3 linked regions of the Canis lupus familiaris genome follow. The protein of the gene in region 1 interacts with the protein of each later gene in a pairwise test. Links are inferred from orthologs where the notes say so. Each region holds a gene or a part of one and is shown in the gene's direction. Other genes may lie near its edges. The genes, in order: SPA17, MYL6B and AKAP7.

The links.
Region 2: the proteins of SPA17 (region 1) and MYL6B interact in binary tests that used the Homo sapiens proteins (3 or more experiments, as listed by UniProt). The two-hybrid records come from large-scale screens. The link is inferred for Canis lupus familiaris from reciprocal best matches to the Homo sapiens genes SPA17 and MYL6B.
Region 3: the proteins of SPA17 (region 1) and AKAP7 interact in a two-hybrid assay, tested with the Homo sapiens proteins (3 studies listed by BioGRID and IntAct). The two-hybrid records come from large-scale screens. The link is inferred for Canis lupus familiaris from reciprocal best matches to the Homo sapiens genes SPA17 and AKAP7.

The regions. Positions count from the first base shown.
Region 1 is NC_049226.1:9,740,252-9,743,900, reverse strand, and holds part of SPA17 (sperm surface protein Sp17), read left to right. Parts: intron 1-869; coding exon 870-940; intron 941-2,733; coding exon 2,734-2,820; intron 2,821-3,649. UniProt on the Homo sapiens protein: Sperm surface zona pellucida binding protein. Helps to bind spermatozoa to the zona pellucida with high affinity. Might function in binding zona pellucida and carbohydrates.
Region 2 is NC_049231.1:824,205-828,590, forward strand, and holds the start of MYL6B (myosin light chain 6B), read left to right. Parts: upstream 1-1,451; 5' UTR 1,452-1,609; intron 1,610-1,824; exon of another isoform or gene 1,825-2,012; intron 2,013-3,074; 5' UTR 3,075-3,120; coding exon 3,121-3,297; intron 3,298-4,015; coding exon 4,016-4,043; intron 4,044-4,300; coding exon 4,301-4,386. UniProt on the Homo sapiens protein: Regulatory light chain of myosin. Does not bind calcium.
Region 3 is NC_049222.1:70,001,549-70,005,197, forward strand, and holds part of AKAP7 (A-kinase anchoring protein 7), read left to right. Parts: intron 1-501; coding exon 502-649; intron 650-936; coding exon of another isoform or gene 937-1,151; exon of another isoform or gene 1,152-1,414; intron 1,415-3,315; coding exon of another isoform or gene 3,316-3,368; exon of another isoform or gene 3,369-3,649. UniProt on the Homo sapiens protein: Probably targets cAMP-dependent protein kinase (PKA) to the cellular membrane or cytoskeletal structures.

The DNA.
Region 1 (3,649 bases):
ATGATCCTAGGGTCCTAGGAATGGGCCCTGGGATTGGGCTCCATGTCATTGGCTCCCTGCTCAGCAGGAAGCTGGAAGCCTGCTTCTCCCTCTCCCTCTGCCACTCCCCTAATTTGTACTCTCTGGCTCTGTCAGATGAATGAAATCTTTTAAAAAAAAAAAAGAAATTGTTCATAATGAAAAGTTCAAAAAATCTGCTTAAATATAAATATTTCTTCCTGTCTTTGTTTACTGACTACATAATATGCTTCATTTTTATTTTTTTAAAGATTTTATTTATTTGACAGAGAGAGAGCACAAGCAGGAGGAGGAGCATCATATATTGTTATCACTGGTTATGTTTACAGTGTTAAGCTATGTACATAATAAGATTTTCCTTTTTTTAAGATTTTATTTATTCAAGAGAGACACAGAAACAGAGACAGAGACATAGGCAGAGGGAGAAGCAGGCTCCCTGCAGGGAGCCATATATGGAACTCGATCCCAGGACTCCAAGATCACGCCCTGAGCCACAGGCAGACACTCAACCACTGAGCCACCCAGGTGTCCCCATAGTAAGATTTTCAACTAGCAATAAAGAACTTCCAGCTTGGGCAGCCTCGGTGGCTCAGCGGTTTAGCGCTGCCTGCAGCCCAGGGCGTGATCTTGGAGACCCTGGATCGAGTCCTACGTCAGGCTCTCTGTATGATGCCTGCTTCTCCCTCTGCCTGTGTCTCTGCCTCTCTCTGTCTCTATGAATAAATAAAAAAATAAAATCTTTAAAAAAAAAAAAAGCCCTGTAGTTTGAAAAAAAGATCTTGTGTTACTAATCTGGATTTACTTTAATGAACTCAAAATAAGTCTGAAATTATTATATTTTTATTATTTAGAAACCAACTTTGATCCAGCAGAATGGGGGGCTAAGGTAGACGACCGCTTCTATAACAACCATGCATTCAAGGTATGGTCCTATGAAACTCGTGGATTTGGTTATTTCTTCTCCTTGTCTCCAAAACAGATAATAGCAGAATCTCCCCAGAATCACGATCATGAAAGGCATATATATCTTATTAAACCTTTTTAGTTGTGCTGTTCTTTCTGACGAGAATTTTTTTTCTAAAGTATCTGAATTGTGAAAAAAAATAAAGTATCTGAATTGTGAACAGATATTTAGCTGAAATTGAAAGGTGATCAACAGAAAGAATGTACTTGAAAAGTTACAGAATAACTACTATAATTTATTCTTCAAATTGTATTGGGTATCACGATGGTTAGCAATAGCGGATCCTCAATAAATATTTGTTGAATTAACAAATGACATTTCATAAAATAAAACACCATTTATCTAGTTGTTTCATCATCATTGACATCATGGTGGAGTTTCTTCTACAAAACTAATGTGTTCAAAGACTGAACCTGCCTTCTCTTTAGCAACATTCTCTGAACCAGCCTTTCTCAACCAAGGTTCCCCAAAATAATTAAGCCCTAAGCCAAAGGCACTCATTGCATGTAAAGAATCAATGTCTTTCCTTTGTATCCAGGATGATTCTAGTTATGTACCATCCTTGATAGAATAGTCCCTCAAAACATTCTGTGTTCTGTGGTCCAGAAGAGGAACACTGGATGATAAGGGCTATGTGTGACCCTTTGTGATTGGCATCAACTAACTGGGAACTTGATGGAAATTCTGTCTCAGGCTCTACTCGAGATCTGCCAAGTCAGAAACTGAACTTTAACAAGCTCCCCAAAGTAATTTGTAGGTACATTGGTGTCTGAGAAGCACTCTTCTAGACAACTGAGATAATACATTAGCCACAAATCTCCGCCAGATATTAGAATTAAAAGGAATTAACCAAGTTCAGGTTTTGATGGTGTTCCGCAGTAGAACTGGGGAATTTCCAGGGGAAATACCTGTCACTTTTTCCATGAGTTCAAAAGTGAAGTTCCATCCATTTGTGCCTGCCAGATAATGGGAGTGTTGAGTTTGTTTCCACTTAACTTAATTCTCTGTGTTCATGTTTTATTTCAATCAAAAGAATAGTGTCAAAAAGCTTTAAGTCTTTGTGTCACATAGCAATTTTAGGGTGTTTTTTTCCATCTCTTTTGAATTCTAAAGGCTTTACTTAATTAGCTTATATGTCTTCAAATTTCTGTTTTATGGATTCAAGAAACTCTTCTCATAGGTTGTGAATTAGCAATGCCTCTATTTTGGTGAAAGTTTTCAATAACCATGTCAAAATAGGCATAGCTGATATCCCTTTTTTTTTTATTTAAATGGCTCCCCATAGCACAATTTACTTCTTTGATATGATTTTTAACCTTCAAACTTCATTAAAAAGTCCACTTGATCTCACATCATGGGGCACAATGGCACATATTTTGTTCTTATTTTAAAAACTAGCAGCACTTCTTTTTTACACTTTGTTCAAGATTCATTACAGCATCTTAACAACTTTAGTATAAGACAATAGCTTTGTTTTCATATAAAAACAATGCTGCACACATTCCAAAAGCAAAAATGTCAAACATTTTTCACCAATTGTTTGGTCATATTTGTTTATGCATATTCCCTTGAGAGTTTTAATTTATTTCTTTTTTTTCCAACCTAGTTTCTTTTTTTTTTTTAATCAGCATGTACTTAATTCCTACTACTTCTCAATAACATACAGAAATATTTAGTGACTTTCAGCAGTTTGATGCAAGACTTTACTGTTTTGGAATATTGCCTGTTTGACCCTCTCACCCCTCTTCCAGGAGCAAGAATCACCTGAGAATTGTGAGTCAGAAAAAGAAAAATCTCCCCCATCTGTGAAAGAGGATGAGACACCAGTCACAGCCTTTGTAAGTTATATTTTCCATATATTATTAGATTCCTAAAAAGAATCATATCCCTCAAATTAAAATTATACTCCAAATATGAATCTAGTCTATTATCCATATTGCTAAAATAATCACTTTGCTCTCTAGATAACTGGCATCAGTGATAAACTCACTGGTAGATCATTTGTAACTATGCCTATTATGAAGGAAAACTCCTTCTTGCCCTTAAAAATAAAATCTTATTTTCCAAGATTGGCAATAGGTGGGAGAATCTCAGTCTTCATCCTTCAGATTCACTTTCCACTCTGAGAATTTTTCACTAATCGATGCTCTCACCACCACACAGTGGCAAGGGTCAGAGATGACAAAAGGAAACTCGCAGAGAATCACATACCACCAAACAGAATGGCTTTCCGCAATGTGTAAAGGTCTTACTCACCTTCCATGCACTGCTGTCTACAAAATAACTTCCTGGGGATCCCTGGGTGGCTCAGCGGTTTAGCGCCTGCCTTTGGCCCAGGGCGTGATCCTGGAGTCCTGGGATCAAGTCCCACATCGGGCTCCCCGCATGGAGCCTGCCTCTCCCTCTGCCTGTGTCTCTGCCTCTCTCTCTGTCTCTGTCTCTCTGTGTCTGTCTCTCATGAATAAATAAATAAAATCTTTTAAAAAAATGACTTCCTGCCTGATAGCCTACATCTAAGCAGTAAAGACCTGACCTGAGTAGGGTCCACCTTCAAAGATACCTATTTTCAGTAGTGTGCTAGAGCCAGCTCTCAAGAGACAACTGTGCACATCTCTATACAACCCATGATCAGTAATGTCTACTTTACCAAAAATCAGCCATGGTAGG
Region 2 (4,386 bases), on another chromosome or scaffold:
AGGCATGAAGCCTACTTAAAAAAATAAAAAATAGGGATCCCTAGGTGGCGCAGCGGTTTGGCTCCTGCCTTTGGCCCCAGGGCGCGATCCTGGAGACCGGGGATCGAATCCCACATCGGGCTCCCGGTGCATGGAGCCTGCTTGTCCCTCTGCCTGTGTCTCTGCCTCTCTCTCTCTGTGTGACTATCATAAATTAAAAAAATAAAATTAAAAAAAAATAAAAAATAAACACAAAACAAGGACTTTAGAGTTAGATTCGCTTTTTATTTTTTAGATTTACATTTGAACCTTGACTCTGCTCCCATACTCTAGATCACACTGGCAAAAGAAGCAGAGACTCGGGATCCCTGGGTGGCGCAGCGGTTTGGCGCCTGCCTTTGGCCCAGGGCGCGATCCTGGAGACCCGGGATCGAATCCCACATCGGGCTCCCGGCATGGAGCCTGCTTCTCCCTCTGCCTGTGTCTCTGCCTCTCTCTCTCTCTCTCTGTGACTATCATAAATAAATAAAAAAAAAAAAGAAAGAAAGAAGCAGCAGAGACTCTGGGAGTCTCAGTTTCCCGTTCCTTAAAGACGGAGCCATGCCTGACCTTCTTTATGGGGTGCTTGGGTGGCTCAGTCGATTAAGTGTTAGGTCATGCTGTCAGGGTCCCAAGTTGGGCTCCCAGATTAGAAGACAAGAATAATGCAAAAATGAGGGGTTTGCCAGTCTGTTTGCCAAGAGTCTTCATGTTTTCTCTGGGGCGCGGGGCGCGGCGGGACCCTTCTCTTCAGCTCCCCCTCGGCTGCTCCTCGGAGGTAATCCAGCCCAAGCGGAAAGGGCTTGGTGAAGGCCTCCGCGGAGAGCGGCTGACCTCCTCCTCCACCTCCTGTTAGGCTGTAGGCAACCGTCCCTACTCTTCCGAGCGGCTTGCACACCCCCACCGCCCGCCCCCTCCTCTGACCCTCGGCCTGTCAGCCGCGAGCCCCGCGAGCCCCCGCAGCCCCAGCCCCGGAGGGCTGCGGGGCGTCTCGGGAAGGAGATGACCAGCGCGGACGGAGGCGTGAGGCCCGAGGCGCTGGGCGGCGCAGCCCCGCGGTTCCAGGCAGAGCCGAGGCCCCGCGCCGCGGGATGGAGAAACTTGCACAGTGGGAGGAGCCGGGGCAGGTGGCCAAGGCCTAATCCCAAATCTTAACATTTACTTCAACTACCAGCAGCTCATTACCGAAAAAAAAGAAAAAAGAAAAGAAAGGAGAATTCGGTGGAGTTGCTGTTCCAAGTCACACGGCCCCTCGGCGGCGCCCGCTCCCCCGCCCCCCGGGAGCCCCCGCTCAGCGTCGCAGATGCCCGGGCCCGCGCGGCTCTGGCGCCGGGGCGGGGGGGGGGCTGTAGAGCGGTCACCGCCGCTCAGCTCCGGGAGGCGGAGGGCGCCCAAACGGCCTGAGTCACCGCCGCCGCCACCTGCCGGAAGCCGCCGCTCGGGCGAGGTCTCCCAGCTGCCAGCGGCCTTCCCGTGAGGCCGCGGGCGCGCGAGGACTACGACTCCCGGCATGCTCCGAGGCCGCTGGCGTTAACCCTTCGGGGCCCGCGGCCTCCCAGCCCCGCCTCCGCCCTCACCTGGACCCCGCAGGGTGAGTTTTGGGGAGCTGGGGAGGGACTCTTTCCTTTATTTAAGCTTGATTTGAGGTGTGGGTGCGTGCGTGTGCATGTGCGTGTGTGTGAGTGAGATGAGTTCTGGGAGGCTGGAACGATTCCGATTTTTCTAAAATGGGACAGTGTTCAGTAATGAGATTCAGACGCATTTTTGCAAGTGAGAGACGAATCATCAAATCTCTGAACCCCAGGGTCTAAGTGGAATCATTACTCTTCCTCAGAATGCTGCCTAAATCTTTTCCTTTCTTATCCCAAGAACAAAAGTAGCCGCAACCCCTTCCCCTCTCCCCGCCACCTCCGACTTAGACCCTACCCGGTGCCCCCAGCAAGGTTTGGAACCTGGCGCCAGGGCCAGGGTTGTTACCATTCTCTGCTTGGTGGGTAAGTACCTTTGGAACCCATAGGACCTCCCACATCCTTTTGGATTAGAGATTTTAGGATTTAGGCTCCTGGCCTCCCAGGGCCTGCCCTTCCTCTCAGGTGCACCACAGAGTCCCTGCAGGCTCCGCAGGCTCCCTACCTTCCTTTGACTTGATGGACCATGGGGCCTGTGGAAAAGGGTTCCTTCCTTGGTGTGTGGGTGGTGGGTGTTAAACCTGATCCTTGTTCCCACCCTTACCCTTAAAACCATATTGGGAACAGGAGATCATGGGGTGTGTGTGTGTGTGTGTGTGTGTGTGATCACACTCCTTTATGTTACTGTTCTTTATCTATACTGGCACAATTCCAGTTCTGGGCTGGGAGACGGTGGCAGTGACTGTAAGATTTGGGGATTAAAGGCTGTGGGGTCAACTGCCCCTGCTCCTCAACTATAGTCAGAGGGGAGTAGAAGAGCTGCTTGGTTTTTTCATCTTAAACTGCTCCTGGACCCCACTTTTTTTTTTTTTTTTTTTTAAGATTTTATTTTCAAGTAGTCTGCACACCCAGTGTGGGGCCCAAATCCACAATTCCAAGATGAGGAGTCACATGCCCTACTGACTGAGCCAGCCAGGTGCCCCTCCCAGACCCCACTCTAACAATCCCAGTTCACAAGGGCCCCCTCCCTGCCTCAGCCTTTAAGGGTCTAAAGCTGCTAAAACAAAAGGGCTACTCTGTGTGTGTGGGAGGGGGGTCGAGGCCTGGAATGCCTGGGTCCCCTTCTTTGCTTCACCCCTGTGTCAGTGTCTGTCACTGGCAAGCATCCTATCCTTACCCCGGAGGTTAACTCCCTCATTCTGGGCAGTCTCTGGCTTCCTTCCCCTGCCCCCAAAGGGGCCATTGTTCTGGCTAGCATTTGGGGCTTAGTGAACAGAAGAGAGAAGACCTTGGGGCAGGAGTCCTGAACCATAGGAGTCCAGGGCAGGCCGGCATATCTCTCCTCTATCTCACCCTCCTCACCGCCAACTGGCTCCCTGCCCCTGCCCCCGCCCCTTGACATCCCAGACTCCCTGGCTATTTAAACAGAGATGGGTGCCCCCATCGGCACACTGTCCTTTGGCCACCGGACATCATGCCTCCCAAGAAGGATGTTCCTATGAAGAAACCAGCGGGACCCTCTATTTCCAAGCCTGCTGCCAAACCAGCAGCAGGGGCCCCTCCTGCCAAGCCCAAGGCTGAGCCAGCTCCAGCTGTCCCTCCAGCTCCTCAGAAAACCCAGGAGCCCCCCATCGATCTCTCCAAAGTGGTGGTGAGTCTTGGGAGACTGAGGAAGAATTTGTAAGGGATGGTACAGGGTGGGAAACAGCCGAGGTGGTTAGGGGTATCTAAAAGATAGGGACTCGGTGAGCACTGCACGGATACTGGAGATCCCTCTTGGTCCCCTATTTGGAAGCATCCAGGCTTATGACTGCTGTTCTTTTTTATTCTCTCCCTCTAACCTATACTATATGTGTGGGTACATACACACATTCTCACTGACCCCTCTGCTGGCGGCAGGGACCTGGGAGATGGGGAACATCTGGGTTCTGAGGACAGTTTCAAGGTGAAGAGAGGGAGCTGGTGCCTGTGCCTGGCTGACTGTTCGGTTCTAAAAGCCACAACTCTGAACCCCAGGAGGGAAGGCTGAGGAGGACAGACTTGTTAGACAATCACAGCTGGGGGCCAGGGGTAAATTTAGCCTTTGTTCAGCCCCCAGTTATGTGAGGGATGCAGAGCTCAGGGCACTGGAGGGAGGGGAACAGGTGGCATGGGATTAACCCTGTTCCCAGGAAACCCTCCCCCCCATAATTCCTCCTCTTGGGATTCTCCCAAGGTCCAGAGCTGGGAATGGGACTGAGGTGGCTGGGCTCCCAGCCTGGTCTCTTTGGGCCCCTCCCCAGAAGTGGCTGCCAGTTGGTTGGGAGGAGTGCTGGAGAGAGATTCAGTGAGCCCTGTCATCTCTCCTCACCTGCTCTTTTCTTCCACAGATCGAGTTTAACAAGGACCAGCTGGAGGGTGAGGAGAAGCTGGTCCCTTAAGCCGCACCGTCTAGCCCCAAGCCCCTGGTCAGATCCTCTTTCTGTTCCCCTAGCCCAACCTTGGATAGCGCCACCGTCTAGTCCCAACCTTGGAACCTTCCTCCTAGTGCTCTGTGTCCTCTGTTCTGCCTAGCTCTAGTTCGGAGTTTCTGAACCTCCTTTCTGTCAGGGGTGGAGTGGGGGGGTGGTGATGGGAACCCCTGGTCTCAACACTGACCTCTCCTTGTACTTCAGAGTTCAAGGAGGCCTTTGAGCTGTTTGATCGAGTAGGGGACGGCAAGATCCTGTATGGTCAGTGTGGGGATGTGATGAGGGCTCTG
Region 3 (3,649 bases), on another chromosome or scaffold:
TAGAGAAGGACTTGGGAGATGCACTGCCCCTCCTCCAATTCAAATAATCATTAACCGTCTTCAAATGACTCTTATGTCAGGAGTTTCAAAATTGCATACATCTTATTAAAACATTTTATACATTATAAAATATTAAGATCTATATCACTTTTTAAAAATTCATCCATTTCTCCATTGTTGATGATTACTCTTTTTTTTTGATACCTCAAATTTCAACTTGATATACCTCATTATTTCAGAAGCTTAAAGCATATAAGGTTCTGAATGCCACCAAATTTAAACCCAATACTCTTTGATGATTTTTTTTTTTTTAATAATACAACTCATCCTAGAGAGGGAGACTTTAAAAACAGATTCAACCATTTTGGGGTATCCGTTTTCAAATGCCTCTAGGCAGAACTAGATACCAAAGTATGTCACATTCTAAGACAGTGATATAAATATGAACTAGCTGCCTCGGTGGAATGATTGAGTGATGTGATTTTGTTTTATCATTTCAAGGGAGTGAAAAAAATCGACCCCAAATTCTATGAAAAATTTATCAGTCATACATTTGGAGAAGAAATGGTACATCGCATAGATCTTTGCTCCATGCTAAAGAAAAAACAAAGTAATGGTTATTATCACTGTGAGTCTTCAATTGTGATTGGTGAGTGCCATTTAAAAATTACTTATTATCTTAGTTTTGATTTCTTTAGCATCATTTCTTTTGGCAGATATTTAGGGCTAGTTGTATGTATTTTTCTCTGACATATTTTTGGAAATATTATATTTTGGCATTAGTACATTTGAAATTTTATAGAACACATTTATTATTCACTGTGGTCAAGATTTTAGTACCTATGGTTTTTATGTTTTTGTGTTTTATATATAATGAAGTCTTGAAATGTTGATTCAAAATTCATTCCAGTTTAATTTTATTTCATGAATATGAAGAAAACATTGTCTTCAGTGAAGGCCTATGTGAACACCCCATCCCACACCAGGCATTTTCATGTTTGCTGCTTTTAATTAGGAATAGAATATTCCAGGCCAAGAAGTTTCACTGTGAGAAGATAAAGTCTAGGTGGCCTGCAAAGGTTGAAAACTTGTCCTTCAATTTCCTCCCCAAAGGAAACATATTTTGTGGGGAAACAAAGATTCATACGTGAATGCTTCTATCATCTTATCAGGGAGTTGGCTTGTGACCGAGACAGAGTCATACACAATCATGTTTCCGAGTGGAAAGTTTACATCAAACGGAGATTTTTTTTAACCAGAACAGGGCTATTGTGCAGTGTTGAATGTATTCAAAGGAACCTGATCTGTTGTGATGCAAATGTGCGATTTCAAACCCAGGCAGCATTCTTCTAAGATGGTGAACTTCAAAAAAAAAAAGTAAAAAAATAAAATAAAATAAAATTGTGAACATCAAGACAATCTGATTGTATGGTTTTGAAGTAACTTGACAATACTCAAAGAAGACAAATACCTGTATCTAAACATTTCATGGTCTTCATCAAGATAATGTCTCTCCACATCAGCTTCAAGAAAACCTGTGGAAATACACATCCTGAATTTTAATATAAATTCTCAGTAGAGCTCTCTTCAGAGAAGTCATCACTTTACCTTCCAAAGATCTTAGCTGTCTTAAACGGAAGATATTCAGTATGTCATTTGAGTTTATATTCTGAAACATTTCACATCTCTTTTAAGGAAGATTTTTGTGTTTTCAGAATCTTGGTTGGAGAGCTGTCTTCCATCGAAGTTTTGTTGAGGACCAGACATTTCTGTTTAGGTTCATTGCAAAGGGCAAATTTAAGACTTTCTTGTGTAACACAGATGTTGGGTAGCTGTCCATGTGTACATAGGTTAGGCCAATGTTGAAGGAGAACTCAATGTTCTTCCTTGACTCTTCTACTCTTGGATAAAGAACAAACAAAAAACCCCCAAGCAGTATGTATATTTTCCTGAAGGTATCCTGGGATTGGTATCATAGCATGTATCCCCTACATTGCCTTAGGACAGCTCTGTTCAGCTCATCCTGAATCACAATGTATCAAACAGTGATTTTTTATTTTATTGCTCTTTTCAGCCTACTCTTAAAAATTCCCCTTATTCTAGGCAATATCTCCAGATTTTCCCCTCAGGCTCCTTTATCTCTCATGTTTTCTAATGCAGAGCAATTTAGCTTCTTTTAAACTCCACCACCAATCTTGTATCCCCATACTGATCATTTAATATTATTTGAAAAAATGGTTTTTGCCCATTACAAATGCTCTACTTTTTCAGTCGCATTTTGTGATGCCAAAATGAACTTTAAAATCATATTTGCATCTGAAATGATAATTATTATGTTATAATTAACCAACTTTAATACACACTAGAAGTCCTTTATTTGCTGGGGATAGTTATTGATTTTCTCTATCTTAATCTTACCTGAGTTTTGTAACAATATTTAGGAAGATTCAGGACACTTTCTTTGTGAGTTTCATTTCTTGATCAGATTTAATTGTTTGTTTTTTTAATTTGATCCTAACTTAAATTTAAATCTGTTTTCTATACCTTGAACCAGTATTTCCTTGTATTAATATTGTATTATATTAATAGAGTGGGGCAGATTTCCATTTTTAAGATATTTTGCATTCAGAATTCTAGGGTAGAAATTGGGTTCAAAGACTCTAAGAATTGTCTATAAAACTTTGTTTATAAAACTTTCTATGTAGGTACATAAGTGGATTTTTCTGGGGAGAGAATTCATTAGATTTGCATCATTTCCTATGTCTTAATTTGTTAATAGTGCATTCTTGTAGAGAACTAGATTACAAATCATGGATTTTCTTTTCAGCTGTCTCAATTATGCCATTTAGGACATCTTATTATTATTATTTTAAAAACATCAATGACTATATGCTTCATTTCCAAGATTTGTCATTGATTCTTTTTCATATTTTCCTTTTCTGTTCTTTGCTTCATGGATGCTATGCTTTCATTTATCTCTTTGAGGATTTTAATATAATTAATTGTTAATATTCTTTTTGTGTATTTAAAAATATTTTATTTCATTTTTATTTTTAAAATAAATTAGATATATAGTATAAATTTAAGGAGTACAAGGTTTTACTTTGGCATTTTTATGTGTTGTAATATGATATTTATCACATTACATAATTACAGTATAATATTTTTGTCTATATTCATTATACTGTAATTAGGTCTTGATTGCTTATTTACAAGTAGTAAATAAGGTATAAGTTTGTACACCATAAAATACTATTAATCTTACTCTCCTACCCACCAATTTTCTGAGAACCACCATTTTATTGTTTTTTACAGCTTTATTAGATTCCATCTATAAGTGGCATCATACAGTACTTGTTTTTCTGTGAATTACCTTGCTTAGCAAATAATGTGCTTGGGGCCCATCCATGTTGTTGCAAGTGGAAGGATATCCTCCTTTTTGATGGCTGAATAATATTCCATTTTGTGTATGTACCACATCTTTCTTATCCATTCATCCATTGTTGGGCATTTAGGTTGTTTTCATATTTTGGCTATTGTGAATAATACTGTGATAAACATGGGAGTTCATATAGCTTGTCAAAATCCTATTCTCATTTCTCTGGGTTTATATCCAGTAGGGGAACTACTGGGTCATATGGTATTTCTA